Anolis sagrei: one gene and its partners. Each later gene encodes a partner of the first gene's protein in a complex. Links are inferred from orthologs where the notes say so. Each region holds a gene or a part of one and is shown in the gene's direction. Other genes may lie near its edges.

Region 1 (4,960 bases):
TTTCAATCATTATACAGGCAGGACAATCTCAACTGAGGCAAACTATTTGAACATGGTATGCCAAAGTTCCAGGTCAAATTGCCAATACCTGCTGGATGATGGAGAAAGGCAGGGAGTTTCAGAAAAAACATCTTTTTCTATTTTATTGACTATTCTAAAGCCTTTGACTGTGTGGATCATAATAAATTGTGGCTAGTTCTTGGTGGTATGGGGATCCCAAGCCACCTTGTCTCTCCCCTGAGGAATCTGTACAAGGATCCAGTAGCAACAGTGAGAACTGACCATAGAACAACAGACTGGTTCAAGATTGGGTATAAGGCAGGGTTGTATACTCTCACCCAACCTATTCAACATGTATGTAGAAAACACATCATGCAATGTGCGGGGCTTGATGAATGCAAGGCTGGGGTAAAATTTGCTGGAAGAAATATTAACAACCTTAGATATTGAGATGATACCACTTTGATGGCCAAAAGTGAGAAGGAGCTGAGGAGCCTTCTAATCAAGGTGAAAGAAGAAAGTGCAAAAGCTGGGTTGCTGCTAAACATAAAAAAACCAAGATTATGGCAACCAGACTGATTGACAACTGGAAAATAGAGGGAGAAAACATGGAGGAAGTGACAGACTTTGTATTTCTAGGTGCAAAGATTACTGCAGATGCAGACTGCAGCCAGGAAATCAGAAGACGCTTACTTCTTGGGAGGAGAGCAATGTCCAGTCTTGATAAAATAGTAAAGAGTAGAGACATCACACTGGCAATGTAGATCCACATAGTTAAAGCAATGGTATTCCCTGTAGTCACCTACAGATGTGAGAGCTGGACCATAGGGAAGGCTGAGCGAAGGAAGATAGATGCTTTTGAACTGTGGTGCTGGAGTAAAAATCTGAGAGTGCCTTGGACAACAAGAAGGAGATTCCATCTGAACATGAGGAAGAACTTCCTGACTGTGAGAGCCATTCAGCAGTGGAACTCTCTGCCCTGGCGTATGGTGGAGGCTCCTCCTTTGGAGGTTTTTAAACAGGCTGGATGGCCATCTGTCAGGGGTGCTTTGAATGCAATATTCCTGCTTCTTGGCAGGGGGGTTGGACTGGATGGCCTATGAGGTCTCTTCCAACTCTATGGTTCTAAGAAGATCAAGCCAGTCCATACTTCAGGAAATAAAGCCCGATTGCTCATTGGAGGAAAGGATAGTAGAGGCCAAGATGAAGTACTTTGGCCACATCATGAGAAGACAGGAAAGCTTAGAGAAGACAATGATGCTGGGGGAAATGGAAAAGGAAGAGGGGCCGACCATGGGCAAGATGGATGCGTGGTACCCTTGAAGTGACTCGCTTGACTGTGAAGGAGTTGGGGGTGGTGACGGCTGACAGGGAGTTATGGCGTGGAATGGTCCATGAGGTCACGAAGAGTGGGAAGCAACTGAACGAATAAAAAACAACTACACTTGGTATGGCATGGCTGAAGGCTTTGGGGTCGTGGGATGTCTAGTGTGGTGAGGCGAGGCACCCACCCTCTTCGGCAGAGAAGGCTAAAGGCCCTGCCAAAGCACAACCCCCAAGGTGCCATAGCCTTGAGTCCTGTCAGTCCAGATGGTGCGGCACTGCCTCCTTTCTACACCGTGAGCGCGCCCTCGCTCCCCTCTCTCTGGGAGGAGGGCCTCCAGTTTGCCCTCCTTGGGCGCCTACCTGGCGTCTTCCGCGGGAGCGCCTCTCCCTCCAGGAAACGGGGCTCCGCAGCAGCAGCAGCCAGCGCCTCTCCCTCGCCCGGCAGGGAAGAGGGTTCCAGGAAGACAGCCGGCATCGCCTCCGCTTCCCACCCTCCCGCCAACCAGCCAGCCAATCGCTGACTCCTCCATCCTCCTTCCTCCCGTCCTATTGGCAGCTCCCCTTTACGACGTTTCGCCTCTCCGTTCGAGGAGCCAATGAGGAGAGGCGATGCTGCGAGGTGTGAGGCTCCAGTGAGAGCGCCGCCCTGATTGGGTGCCACGCGCAGGACGGGGAGGGGGCGCGTGGAGGACCTGGTGAGGAGAAGATGGCGGCGGCGGTGGTGGCAGAAACTGTGGAGCTCCACAAGTTGAAGGTAGCGCGAGGCCAGTCGCGCGGGGTCGGCATGTCGGTTATTTATTTATTTTTGAGGAGTCGAGGAAGCGGCGCGTGGCCTCCCCTTCTTGCCAGGCGCTTCGTGCTTTCTTTGGCTGGAGCGGCGTCTGCTTCTCCTCAGGGGGTGGGCTCGTGCCTCTCTCTCTCTCTCTCTCTCTCTCTCTCTCTCTCTCGTGAGGGCAGGATGGAGCTGCCTTGCAGGCCTTCCCTCTCTCACGGCGCCTCCCACTTTCCCACCTCCCGCTGAGGAAGGCCTTTCCCAGGTCAATTGGAGGAGGCCCCAAGGGCCGTCCTGTGCAACCCTTTTCTGCCATGCAGGGATACACAATCAAAGCACCCTCTTATACAGGCATGGGCAAACTCCGGCTCTCCAGGTGCTTTGGACTTCAACTCCCACAATTCCTAACAGCCAAACCCAACCGGCTGTAAGGAGTCTCCGCCACACTCTAAGGGAGCAGTCTGTCCCCTGTCGAACAGCACTTGCCCTCAGGAAGTTTTTCCTCACGTTGAAAGGGCATTTTCTATCCTGCAGTTTGAATCCATTTCTCCATTGGGCCCTAGCTTCCAGGCCAGAAGAAAACAAGCTCGCCCCTTCTCAATGTAGCATCATTTCGGATAAGCATGGCTGTTTGATGGCCAAAAGCGAGGAGAAGCTGAGGAGTCTTCTAACCAAGGTGAAAGAAGAAAGTGCAAAAGCTGGGTTGCAGCTAAACATTAAAAACCCAAGATTATGGCAACCAGACTGATTGATAAATGGCAAATAGAGAGAGAAAACGTGGAGGCAGTGACAGACTTTGTATTTCTAGGTGCAAAGATTACTGCAGATGCAGACTGCAGCCAGGAAATCAGGAGACTTTACTTCTTGGGAGGAGAGCAATGGCCAATCTCGTTAAAATAGTTAAGACAGCACATTGGCAACGAAGATCTGCATAGTTAAAGCAATGGTATTCCCCTTGCAACCTATGGATGTGAAAGGTGGACCATAAAGAAGGAAGAACTGTGGTGCTGGAGGAAAATTCGGATAATTCCTTGGACTGCAAGAAGATCCAACCTGTCCATACTTTAGGGAAAAAAGCCTGACTGCTCACTGGAGGGAAGGATATTAGAGGCAAAGATGAAGTACTGTGGCCACATAATGAGGACATGAAACCATGGAGAAGATAATGATGCTGGGGAAAATGGAAAGAAAAAGGAAGAGAGGTTGACCAAGGGCAATGGTATCCTTGAAGTGACTGGCTTAACTTTGAAGGAGCTGGGGATGGCCACGGCTAACAGGGAGCTCTGGCGTGGGCTGGTCCATGAGGTCTGGTGGTCCCTATGTAGACTTGTCCACAGCTGCATGGTAACGTAGCATTTGTTGGATTTTCTTGGTGGGTTTGTAGATTGTTTGCATGTTGTGTTTCCTCATCAGCTTCCCTATGCGGTCAGTGGTTCCCTTGATGTATGGCAGGGACACTTTTCCTCTGGGTGAAGCTGATGAGGAAACACAACATACAAACAATCTACAAACCCACCAAGAAAATCCAACAAATGCTACGTTCAGCAAAGGACAAGAGGGATCCTCTCACCTCTGCAGGAGTCTACCGTATACCATGCAGCTGTGGACAAGTCTACATAGGGACCACCAAACGCAGCGCCCAGACACGCATCAAGGAACATGAAAGGCACTGCAGACTACTTCAACCAGAGAAGTCAGCCATAGCAGAGCACCTGATGAACCAGCCTGGACACAGCATATTATTTGAGAACACAGAAATGCTGGACCACACCAACCACCACCATGTCAGACTACACAGAGAAACCATTGAAATCCACAAGCATGTGGACAATTTCAACAGAAAGGAAGAGACCATGAAAACGAACAAAATCTGGCTACCAGTATTAAAAAACTCTAAAATTACAACAGCAAAACAACAGAGAGGAAACAACCAGGCACAGATTAACACCTCCCAGCAAGAGATTTTCCCAGGCTCAGGCAGGCCTTCAAATGCTAATGAAGGTGATCAGGTGAAACATTCACACCTAACTGCAGCAGGGAAGCGCTCCTTGCCCCACCCCAGCCATTCCACAGATATATAAACCCATTGTCCTAATTCCAACAGACCTCACTACCTCTGAGGATGCTTGCCATAGATGCAGGTGAAACGTCAGGAGAAATGCCTCTAGAACATGGCTCTATAGCCCGAAAAAACCCACAAGAACCTAGTGATTCCAGCCATGAAAGCCTTCGACAATACATTGAAATTGTAAATCGCTTCTGGTGTGAGAGAATTGGCCGTCTGCAAGGATGTTGCTCAGGGGACACCCAGATGTTCTACCAGCCTGTGGGAGCCTTCTCTCATGTCCCTGCATTAGAAGCTGGAGCTGACAAATGGGACCTCACCCCGCTCCTGGATTTGAACCACTGACCTTTTGATCAGCAGTCCTGCCAGCACAAGGGTTTAACCCATTGTGCCACTTGGGGTAAAATATGGGCATTCACATATATACACAGTGTGAGTTTGCAGATTCATGAGTTGGATGGCCTGGAGGAGGGGGAAAGAGATCTGTTGCCTTGTGGTGGTGACAAGCTGGTGAGAAAATCAGTCTCTCTCTCTCATACAGTTTTCCATGGCTAACTAGGGAAGTGAAGGCACAGAAGTTCCACCTGACATGACACCTGAGCCAGTTGCTGAGTCCCGGTTCTTGCTTCCACCCCCAAGCCCAGATGCAGCACAGAGAGCAGCACTTGCCTTTTGCTCCAACCCCTCATTCAAACCCAGCGGTGACCTTCCTTCCCATTTCTTTCAAAGGAAGGAGAGGAGCCCATGGCCTCCATTCCTGCCCTAACCAGCAGCTCTGCCAGACCTGAAAGGGATCA
Region 2 (4,960 bases), on another chromosome or scaffold:
TTTGTCCATTTAGCATCTCTGTGCCCTCGATGTGAGTAATTTTCGATGATCATGATCATCACCTCCTCAGGGGAGCGTGCTTGCTCCATCAATGTTGAACATTTACACAAATGATCAACCACTGCCAGAAAAGACAGAGAGTTTAATCTGTGCTGATGATCGTGCCATTACTGCCCAAGCAGGGAGCTCTGAGATGGTTGAACAGAAACTTTCCGAAGATCTAGGTGCTCTTACTGCCCATTACAGGGAAAACCAGCTGATTCCTAATCCATCTAAAACACAGACATGTACTTTTAATCTTAAGAACAGACAAGCATCCCGAGCTCTGAGGATGACCTGGGAAGGAACCCCACTGAAGCATTGCAGCACACCCAAATACCTGGGAGTTACCCTGGACCGTGCTTGACTTACAAGAAGCACTGCCTGAATTTCAAGCAAAAAGTGGGCGCTAGAAACAATATCATATGAAAGCTGACTGGCACAATCTGGGGATCACAACCAGATACAGTGAAGACATCTGCCCTTGCGCTTTGCTACTCTGTTGCTGAGTATGCATGCCCAGTGTGGAACACATCTCACCACATTAAAACAGTGGATGTGGCTCTTAATGAGACATGCCTCATTATCACGGGGTGTCTGCGCCCTACACCACTGGAGAAATTACATTGTTTAGCCAGCATTGCACCACCTGACATCCACGGAGAAGTAGCAACCAATAGTGAAGGACCAAGGCAGTGACATCTCCAGCTCATCCCTTGTTTGGGCATCAGCCAGCACATCAATGACTTAAATCAAGATTTTTTTTTTCTAAGATCTACAGAGACATTCGCTGGAACACCTCAGCAAGCGAGAGTCCAAAAGTGGCAGGCTCAAACCCAGAACCTCAATCAATGGCTGATACCAAATGAGAGACTCCCCCCTGGGCACACAGAGGACTTGGAAGGCGCTGAACAGGCACCACGAGATGCAGCCAACCTTAAGAAATGGGGCCACAAAGTGGAGTCCACAACATGCAGGTGTGGAGAAGCGCAAACCACAGACCACTACACCAATGCAACCTGAGCCCATGCACAATGGAGGACCTTCTTGCAGCAACACCAGAGGCACTCCGAGTGGCCAGTTTCTGGTCAAAGAACATTTAGTAGAATACCAACTCTGCAAACTTTGTGGGTTTTTTTGTTTGTTTTTAATGCAATACAACTGTTTTGGTTCGCTCCTGACACGAAAAAATCATCATCTCTCCCAAACCCTTCTGGCTTGAAAGCAACCCTTGCCTGCAATGACGCCTGGGCGCCACCGGGGGCGGTAGAGGGGCGGCCCGTGCATTCGCCGAGCTTGCTTTCTCCCTCGTCTGACGTCACTTCCGCTCGGCGTCGAGAGTCCTAGTGAAGGCCTGTTGCGGTGAGTTTCTCTCTCATTTCCCCGTTGTTGGACCTTTTTCCTTCGAAATAAATGCCTGCTCTTTTTTCTCTATCTGTATGTTCCTTCATAAAACTCATGTGTTTTCCCCTGCTATCACTATCTATTGCTGTATATCTTTTATGTGTTTTTCTTAATTAAATTCCATGCGGTTTAATAAACTGCATTTATTAGGATTATTAGTCTTTTATTTCCTTGCATTTTTCCTTCTGATTAGTTGTATTTTTCCTCGATTATATACATATTTTCCTGTTATTTAGGCCTCATTTATTTCTATAGATTTTCTCTTCATAAAAGACATATATTTTTTCTCTGCTTATATAAAATACATAATACTTTTAATTGTTTCTTATTCTTTTCTGTATTTTCTTATTATTGTATATTTTCCTTCACAAAACACAGGTATTTCCCCCCTCTTTTTTGCTATAGCATTGTTTATCTTTTTAACACATTAAAAAAAACCCGATTTCTACTTGTGTTGTTTTCTATATATATATATAGTCTAATATTATTTAAATATATATATGCAAGAGAATATATTGTTTTTATTATGTTTTATTGATGTTATTTGTAATGAATTTTTTATCTATGTTAAATGTTTTTAATGTTTAATTATCTTTGTACTGTTGTGGGCATCGAATTGTGCCGTTTTGTAAACTGCCACGAGTTGCCCTTGGGCTGAGAATGGCAGTATAGAAATATAGTAAATAAATATAATTATTGTCAAAGGCTTTCATGGCTGGAATCACTAGGTTCTTGTAGGTTTTTTTGGTCTATATGGCCATGTTCTAGAGGCATTTCTTCTGACGTTTCGCCTGCATCTATGGCAAGCATCCTCAGAGGTAGTGAGGATGCTTGCCATAGATGCAGGCGAAACGTCAGGAGAAATGCCTCTAGAACATGGCCCTGTAGCCCGAAAAAACCTACAAGAACCTAATATAATTATTGTTCAGATATCATCTCGACCTCTGTGTTAGAATGAGAAGATATTAATATATAACATGCATACATGTTAGAATATATATATCTATACACAGAGTAGGAAAGGATAATGACGATGCTAGATGGATTACGGACTATGAATTGGTGAACATTGACCACAAGATGATTTTATTGCTGCTAGTATATTGTTTGACTGTCTTAATTAGTTATAATTGTTGACATTATATGGTAAATTTGTGTATTGTATATTGTATATTGTACTGTATTTTGTGAATTGTTAGGCATCGAATTGTGCTTTTTTGTAAGCCGCCCTGAGTCCCTCCTAGGGGGTTGAGAAGGGCGGGGTAGAAGCACTCCAAAAAAAAAAAAATCCAAAGAAATAAATATATAAGATTAGGAGCCCCAGATGGCACAGCAGGTTAAACTGCTGAGCTGCTGAACTTGATGACCGAAAGGTTGGCGGTTCAAATCCTGGGAGCAGGGTGAACTCTCAGTGTTAGCCCCAGCTTCTGCCAACCTAGCAGTTTAAAAATATGCAAATTTGAGTAGATCAATAGGTACCACTTCTGCAGGAAGGTAATGGCACTCCATGCAGTCACGCCGGCCACATGACCTAGGTGGTGTCTACGGACAACATTGGCTCTTTGGCTTTGAAATGGAGATGAGCACTACTCCCCAGAGTCAGACTCGACTGGACTTAATGTCAAGGGCAAACCTTTACCTTATATATAAGACTATATAATGATAATAATATTGTAATATAATGATATAGAATGATTATATATATATATATATATATATATTATTTTGCTCCTAGATTTTCTTCTTATTCCTATGAATTTTTCTTTATTAATGCATATTTTCCTCCTATTATTCTGTATTATCCAACCATCCATCCATCCACCAATCTATCCATCTACTAATCTGTCCACATTTCCTTCTAGCTGTCCATCCATCCACCAATCTCTCCACAATTCAATCTGTTCTATCTGTCTATGTATTCATCCATCCACCAATCCATCCATCCACAAATCTATCCACATTTCCTACTAGCTAGCTATCCATCTACCAATCTATCCACAATTTCTTCTATTCTGTCCATCCATATCCATCTGATATTATATATACATTATATTTAATATAAATGTATATACGGAGAGATGTGTGTGTGTATATGTGTGCATACAATATATATATTATTGGCAAAGGGTAGATTTGCGTGAAGCCCAAAAAGAGCAGATCGTTTACAAACTGGATAGGATCTAATATATATAATATTGTATGCTTTACCCTTAATGCATAGTCTGGTCTTTCTTAAAGGCAAGAGCATGTCTTCGGAGTCCGGGAAGAAGCGCAAGCCAAAGGTCATCCGGACAGAGGGTGTTGCTTCGGAAGGGAAGCGCAGCCGGGCAGAGGCCGAGCATAGCCAGGTGGGTATGGGGTGAGGGCAGGCTATGCCTGGGAAAGCTGAACCGGGGGGGGGGGGGGGGGGTTTGGGGAACTAGATCTCTCTCTCATCCTCTCTGTTTTGACAGGAGGGACGGCCTTTGAGTGAGGAGGCGGAGGTGGAGCTGCGGGATCCCAGCAAGGATTTTGCCCTCTACCAGCGCACCTGCCAGGACCTCCAGCGCCTGATGCTCGAGATCCAGGAGCTGAAGAGCCGAGGCGGCCGGGACAGTGTACGTTTGAGGAGCCCCAGAGGAAATCTGACCTAACCCTCTCCCAAATGCAGGAGGCCTCTCCTCCAAGCCTACCCACTGAGGGATTAATTTCACGTGTGTTAGGGCTGTGCAAAATTATAATTCCTCCTTGCAAGAAGGGAAAAAATAGGCCCACTTTCAGAGCTGGAGAAGGTGGAAAGTAGGCCACTTTCTCGAAACTGGAGACAGGGGAAAGTAGGCCTTTCAGAGCTGAAGAACGGGGAAAACAGGTCTTCTAAAAACTGGAGAAGGGGAGAAGTAGGCTCACTTTCAGAGCTGGAGAAGGCGGAAAATTGGTCTTGAAACTCGAGAAGGGGGAAAGTAGGCTTTCTTCTCAAAACTGGAGAAAGGTGAAAGTAGGCCATTTTTCATCTTTAGTGCAGTTTCATGAACTTCTCAGCTTTTCTGATACACCAACTGGGAAATGACACGTTACCAATCGAGTTGGGCAAACCTTTCTTGTATTTTATGTCTTCTGTATTGCACTTTTGTTGGTGTGTAAGCTGCCCCAAGTCCTTTTCAGGAGATGGTGGCAGGAAATATTTTGTGTGTGTGTGTGTGTGTATATAATCACATAATATCTGTTTTTTGTGTGTGTGTGTGTGTGTGTATATATATATATATACGCACAAATATTGATATAATGTTGAGGTCCATTTGCGGCAATGTGTTCCCCAGGCAGCGGAGATTGAAGAGCGCCGGATCCAGAGCTGCGTCCATTTTATGACCCTGAAGAAGCTCAACCGTTTGGCTCACATTCGGCTGAAGAGCGGACGAGACCAGACCCATGAGGTGAGTTTGTGGTGACTTTTCATCAGCTTTGGACAGTTTTAGGTGAGGGGAAAAATCACATTATTATTATTATTATTATTATTATTATTATTATTTATCGTTAATGT
Region 3 (4,960 bases), about 110 Mb from region 1:
ACAAAACATCACTTTAACTATCCTTTTACAAACTCTCTGACTTTCTGCCAAAATGTAGGTACCTCACCCAAAACTACAAATCCCAGGATTCCATAGCATTGAGCCATGCCTGTTAAGGTAGGATGGGTGGAGTTTGACACCACTTTATCTATCCTGGCTCGACACTATGGATTCATGGGACATGTAGTTTTACAAACTCTATAGCTCGGGCTTGGGTGAACTTGGGCCCTCCAGGTGTTTTGGACTTCAACTTCCAAAATTGTGGGAGTTGAAGTCAAAAAACACCTGGAGGGCCCAAGTTGGCCCAGGCCTGAGCTAGTGGGAGTTGAAGTCCAAAACACCTGGAGGGCCCAAGTTTGCCCAGGCCTGAACTAGCTTTCTGCCCAAGTGTAGGTGCCTCACCCAAAACCAAATCCCTGGATTCCATAGCATTGAGCCATACCTGTTAAGATAGAATGGGTGCAGTCTGTCACCACTTTATCTATCCTGGCTGGATGCTATGGATTCGCGGGAGCCGTAGTTCTACAAACTCTATAGCTCAGGCCTGGGTGAACTTGGGCCCACCAGGTGTTTTAGACTTCAACTTCCACAATTGTGGGAGATGAAGTCCAAAACACCTGGTGGGCCCAAGTTGGCTCAGGCTGGAGATAGCTTTCTGCCCAAGTGTAGGTGCCTCACCCAAAACTACAAATCCCAGGAGTCCATAGCATTGAGCCATGCCTGTAAAGGTAGGATGGGTGGAGTTTGACCCCACTTTATCCTGGCTGGATACTATGTATTCATGGGAGATGTAGTTTCACAAACTCTATAGCTCAGGCCTGTGTGAACTTGGGCCCACCAGGTGTTTTGGACTTCAAGTTCCACAATTGTGGGAGTTGAAATCCAAAACACCTGGAGGGCCCAAGTTCGCCCAGGCCTGCACTAGCTTCTGTCAGTGTGTAGGTGCCTCACCCAAATCTATAAATCCCAGGATCCCGTAGCACTGAAAAGTTTCCCGAGGCCTGGCGCCTTCTCTGGCTGGGGCCTCACCAAAAGTCCAACCTGCCTTCGAAGCGGTGTCAAACTGCGTTAATTCCCCAGCGTGGCCAAAAGGTCACCAAAGGGGAGAGGCAGGGATTTCTGGTGGTGGGTGAACGCTTCCCCCTGCCTGGCTCTCACCTGGAGCGGAGGAAGGGGCAGGCGGGCGGGGCGAGGCGGGCCTGCTTGCCGAGCCAAGCCTAGCGAGTCGCCCTCCCCTTGGAACCCGCGCCCGGCCTGCTTCAGGGCCCAGGCGCAGCAGCCCACGACGACGACGACGCCTCCTCCTCCCCCTCCATGGCCGCCGCCGCCGCTCCTGCTGCTCCTGCTGCTGCCGCCGCCGCTTACCCGGCTGCTCCTGCTACTGCCGCCGCCGCCGCTGCATTGTGGGAAGCCGCCTCACTCCCTCACTTCCTCACTCGCTCCCTCCTGCCTCCGCCGCGGCCTTCGCCATCGCCATGGGCGCCGTCACCGATGGTGAGAGACCCAGCGCCTCCAGAGCCGGCCAAGGAGGGGACAGCGGCCGCCGCGACCCTTCTTGCTCCCAGCCAGCGAGGCCTTCCCGGGCCCTCTCTTTCCTCCTTTCTTTCCTCCTTCCTTTCCCTCAGGCTCGAGTCCCTTCTGCCCTCATGGCCTTCGCCTCAGCAAGGCCTTCACATCCTTCCTCCTCTTCCAGGCCTCCTCTTCCCTCCTCCTCACTGAGGCCTTCGCTCTCTTCTTCCCCCTCCTGGGGTGGTTTTCACCTTTGGGAAGGAGTGTGGGGCGCCCTGAGGCCTCTTCCACACCTGAATGAATACAACCCCACGTTCTCTGCTTTGAACTGGGATAGATGGCACGGTGGACTCAGGCAACCCACACAGCCCTCTAGCCCAGAATATCAAGGCAGAAAGTCCCACAATATCTGCTTTGAACTGAGTTATCTGAGTCCACATTGCCATATATCCCAGTTCAAAGCAGAAAATGAGGGGTTTCATTCAGCTGTGTGGATTCAGATAACCTAATTCAACGCAGATATAGTGGGATTGTCTGCCTTGATATTCTGGGATATAGGGCTGTGTGGAAGGGCCCTCAGATAACCCAGTTCAAAGCAGATATTGTGGCAATGTGGACTCAGACAACCCACACAGCCCTATAGCCCAGAATATCAAGGCAGACAATCCCACAATATCTGCTTTGAACTGGGTTATCTGAGGGCCCTTCCACACAGCCCTATATCCCAGAATATCAAGGCAGACAATCCCACTATATCTGCGTTGAATTGGGTTATCTGAATCCACACAGGCCCCTTCCACACAGCTGAATGAAATCCCTCATTTTCTGCTTTGAACTGGGATATATGGCAATGTGGACTCAGATAACTCAGTTCAGAGCAGATATTGTGGGATTTTCTGCCTCAATATTCTGGATTATATGGCTGTGTGGGAAGGCCCTTAGATAATGTGGGATTTTCTGCCTTGATATTCAGGATTATATGGCTGTGTGGAAAGGCCCTTAGATAATGTGGGATTTTCTGCTTTGATATTCTGGCATTCAGGGCCTTGTGGAAGAGCCCCCAGAATATCAAGGCAGAAAATCCCACAGTCTCAGTTTTGAACTGGGTTATCTGGGGCCACTTCCACACAGCTGAATAAATTTTTTTTTGCATTTGGTCGTTTCCATATTCCCTGTATCATTCTCCTGTTTCACACTTCAAGTACTTTCCATGCAGCTGGATAAAATCCCACATTTTCTGCTTTGAACTGGAATATATAGCAGTGTGGACTCAGATAACCCAGTTCAGATATTGTGGGATTTTCTGCCTTGGTATTCTGGTTTATATGGCTATGTGGAAGGGCCCTTAGATTTGTCTTTCTCCACATAACAATGTTAATAATAATGGTAATAATAATCAATTTTACTTTAAAGTTAGATTCTGATTTCCTATTTGCATTAATTAAACAATGTATCTAAAAAGAAGGAAAATATCCTTATTTTGATAACAGTATGTATATATTTAAGGAAGATGTGAGGGACATTTGACTCTCCAAATATTTTGGATCACACAATCCACAGTCATTGGCCCATGTTGGATGGAAATAGAGAGGCCAAAACCTTTGGAAAGTGAATGGTTCCCCATCTGTGGTTGGAGGGCCCTTCCACACAGCCCTTTGTACTGCGATCTGATCCAAGATTCAGGTAATTTCCTTAGGTCCTGACTATGGGCTCTTCCACACTGTCCTATATCAGGGAATATCAAGCTAGGAAATCCCACATCTCAGTGTGGACTCAGATAACCCAGTCCAAAGCAGATATTGTGGGATTTTCTGCCTTGATATTCTGGGTTATAGGGCTGTGTGGAAGGGCCCTGTGTCTGTGATCACAACTCATAAACGAACATTATTAATTTTGAAATATTGTTTCTTCTTTAGATGAAGTTATTCGCAAGCGACTTTTGATTGATGGAGATGGTGCTGGTGATGACAGACGAATTAATTTGTTGGTGAAGAGTTTCATCAAGTGGTGCAATTCTGGATCCCAAGAAGAAGGGTATTTTTCTATCTTAGAATCATAGAATCATAGAATCAGAGAGTTGGAAGAGACCTCATGGGCCATCCAGTCCAACCCCCTGCCAAGAAGCAGGAATATTGCATTCAAATCACCCCTGACAGATGGCCATCCAGCCTCTGCTTAAAAGCCTCCAAAGAAGGAGCCTCCACCACACTCCGGGGCAGAGAGTTCCACTGCTGAACGGCTCTCACAGTCAGGAAGTTCTTCCTCATGTTCAGATGGAATCTCCTCTCTTGTAGTTTGAAGCCATTGTTCCGCGTCCTAGTCTCCAGGGAAGCAGAAAACAAGCTTGCTCCCTCCTCCCTGTGGCTTCCTCTCACATATTTATACATGGTAAAATCTTATCAATAAATGGAAACTAAGTGCAGCCCATCAAACGCCAGTACTCTGTAATATCTACTAATGTTAAAGGGGCATGGGGATTGTGTCCAATGACATTTAGTAGTGCATTTTGAATGTGAAGTTTTTTACTGGTAGAGTATATTTCAATGAACACAAAGAAAGACTCTTTTTCAGGAAAACAAATATTGAAATAGTGTAAAGGTTGTAATGAAATGTAAATGACTCTGAGCAAGTATCATACACTAGTTACTTAAGTATTTTGACATTTCCAAATGTACATTATTCCGCATTCTCTCTGGAATTATGAACCTTGATAATGTATTTTGCAGTTTACACTGACTGTAGATAGTCATGTCCTGTAAATAAAGTGGCAGAGACGTGTATGCAGATAGAGCCCTCGGTGCTTTAAAATAATAAAATAAACCCTTGTGTCAGCAGGACTGAAGACCAACAGGTTGGAGGTTCAAATCTGGGGAGAGCACAGATGAGCTCCCTCTTATCAGCTCTAGCCTCCCACAGGAATGATAAAACATCAAAACATCTGGGCCACATCCTTTCAGACGGCCAGTTCTCTCACACCAGAAGCGGCTTGCAGTTTCTCAAGTCGCTCCTGACATGAAAAAAAATGTATGCAGCTGCACTGGGAATCCTAGAACCAAACCCCCAAGGATCTGGAGGCTCATGGTACTGAATGATATGATACATATTGACCATGTAGCATAACCAAGAATACAGTAGCTTTAGGAGAAACAACAAGAAATCTTAATAGACAAAATCTCTTTTAGGAGTCTTTACGTGGAATCATTTTCAGTGGCATAAAACAATACTTGCTGCTATTTAGTTTTAAAAGTTTCTCTATAAAATTTCTTTTATTGTAGTACTATTGGCAGTCCCCAAGTTGACCTAGGATACCTATCATTGAATGTCCTTTTATAAGAATCGTATTAAAAGGCTCTGAAGACCAAGTGTTTCATCATCGCATTGCGAGTCTACAGCGTGAAAACATGCGTTAAACAGGAAAATATAGCATATTAATTTATTAACGCAATCTCTT

What was found.
Region 2: SARNP (region 1) and THOC5 share a complex: the UniProt entries of both Homo sapiens proteins name them as parts of the transcription/export (TREX) complex. The link is inferred for Anolis sagrei from reciprocal best matches to the Homo sapiens genes SARNP and THOC5.
Region 3: SARNP (region 1) and THOC7 share a complex: the UniProt entries of both Homo sapiens proteins name them as parts of the transcription/export (TREX) complex. The link is inferred for Anolis sagrei from reciprocal best matches to the Homo sapiens genes SARNP and THOC7.

The regions. Positions count from the first base shown.
Region 1 is NC_090022.1:146,094,724-146,099,683, forward strand, and holds the start of SARNP (SAP domain-containing ribonucleoprotein), read left to right. Parts: upstream 1-1,971; 5' UTR 1,972-2,032; coding exon 2,033-2,080; intron 2,081-4,960. UniProt on the Homo sapiens protein: Binds both single-stranded and double-stranded DNA with higher affinity for the single-stranded form. Specifically binds to scaffold/matrix attachment region DNA. Also binds single-stranded RNA. Enhances RNA unwinding activity of DDX39A.
Region 2 is NC_090034.1:48,713,399-48,718,358, reverse strand, and holds the start of THOC5 (THO complex subunit 5 homolog), read left to right. Parts: upstream 1-1,338; 5' UTR 1,339-1,401; intron 1,402-3,681; 5' UTR 3,682-3,689; coding exon 3,690-3,791; intron 3,792-3,896; coding exon 3,897-4,040; intron 4,041-4,739; coding exon 4,740-4,853; intron 4,854-4,960. UniProt on the Homo sapiens protein: Component of the THO subcomplex of the TREX complex which is thought to couple mRNA transcription, processing and nuclear export, and which specifically associates with spliced mRNA and not with unspliced pre-mRNA.
Region 3 is NC_090022.1:33,440,919-33,445,878, reverse strand, and holds the start of THOC7 (THO complex subunit 7 homolog), read left to right. Parts: upstream 1-1,410; 5' UTR 1,411-1,475; coding exon 1,476-1,494; intron 1,495-3,425; coding exon 3,426-3,543; intron 3,544-4,960. UniProt on the Homo sapiens protein: Component of the THO subcomplex of the TREX complex which is thought to couple mRNA transcription, processing and nuclear export, and which specifically associates with spliced mRNA and not with unspliced pre-mRNA.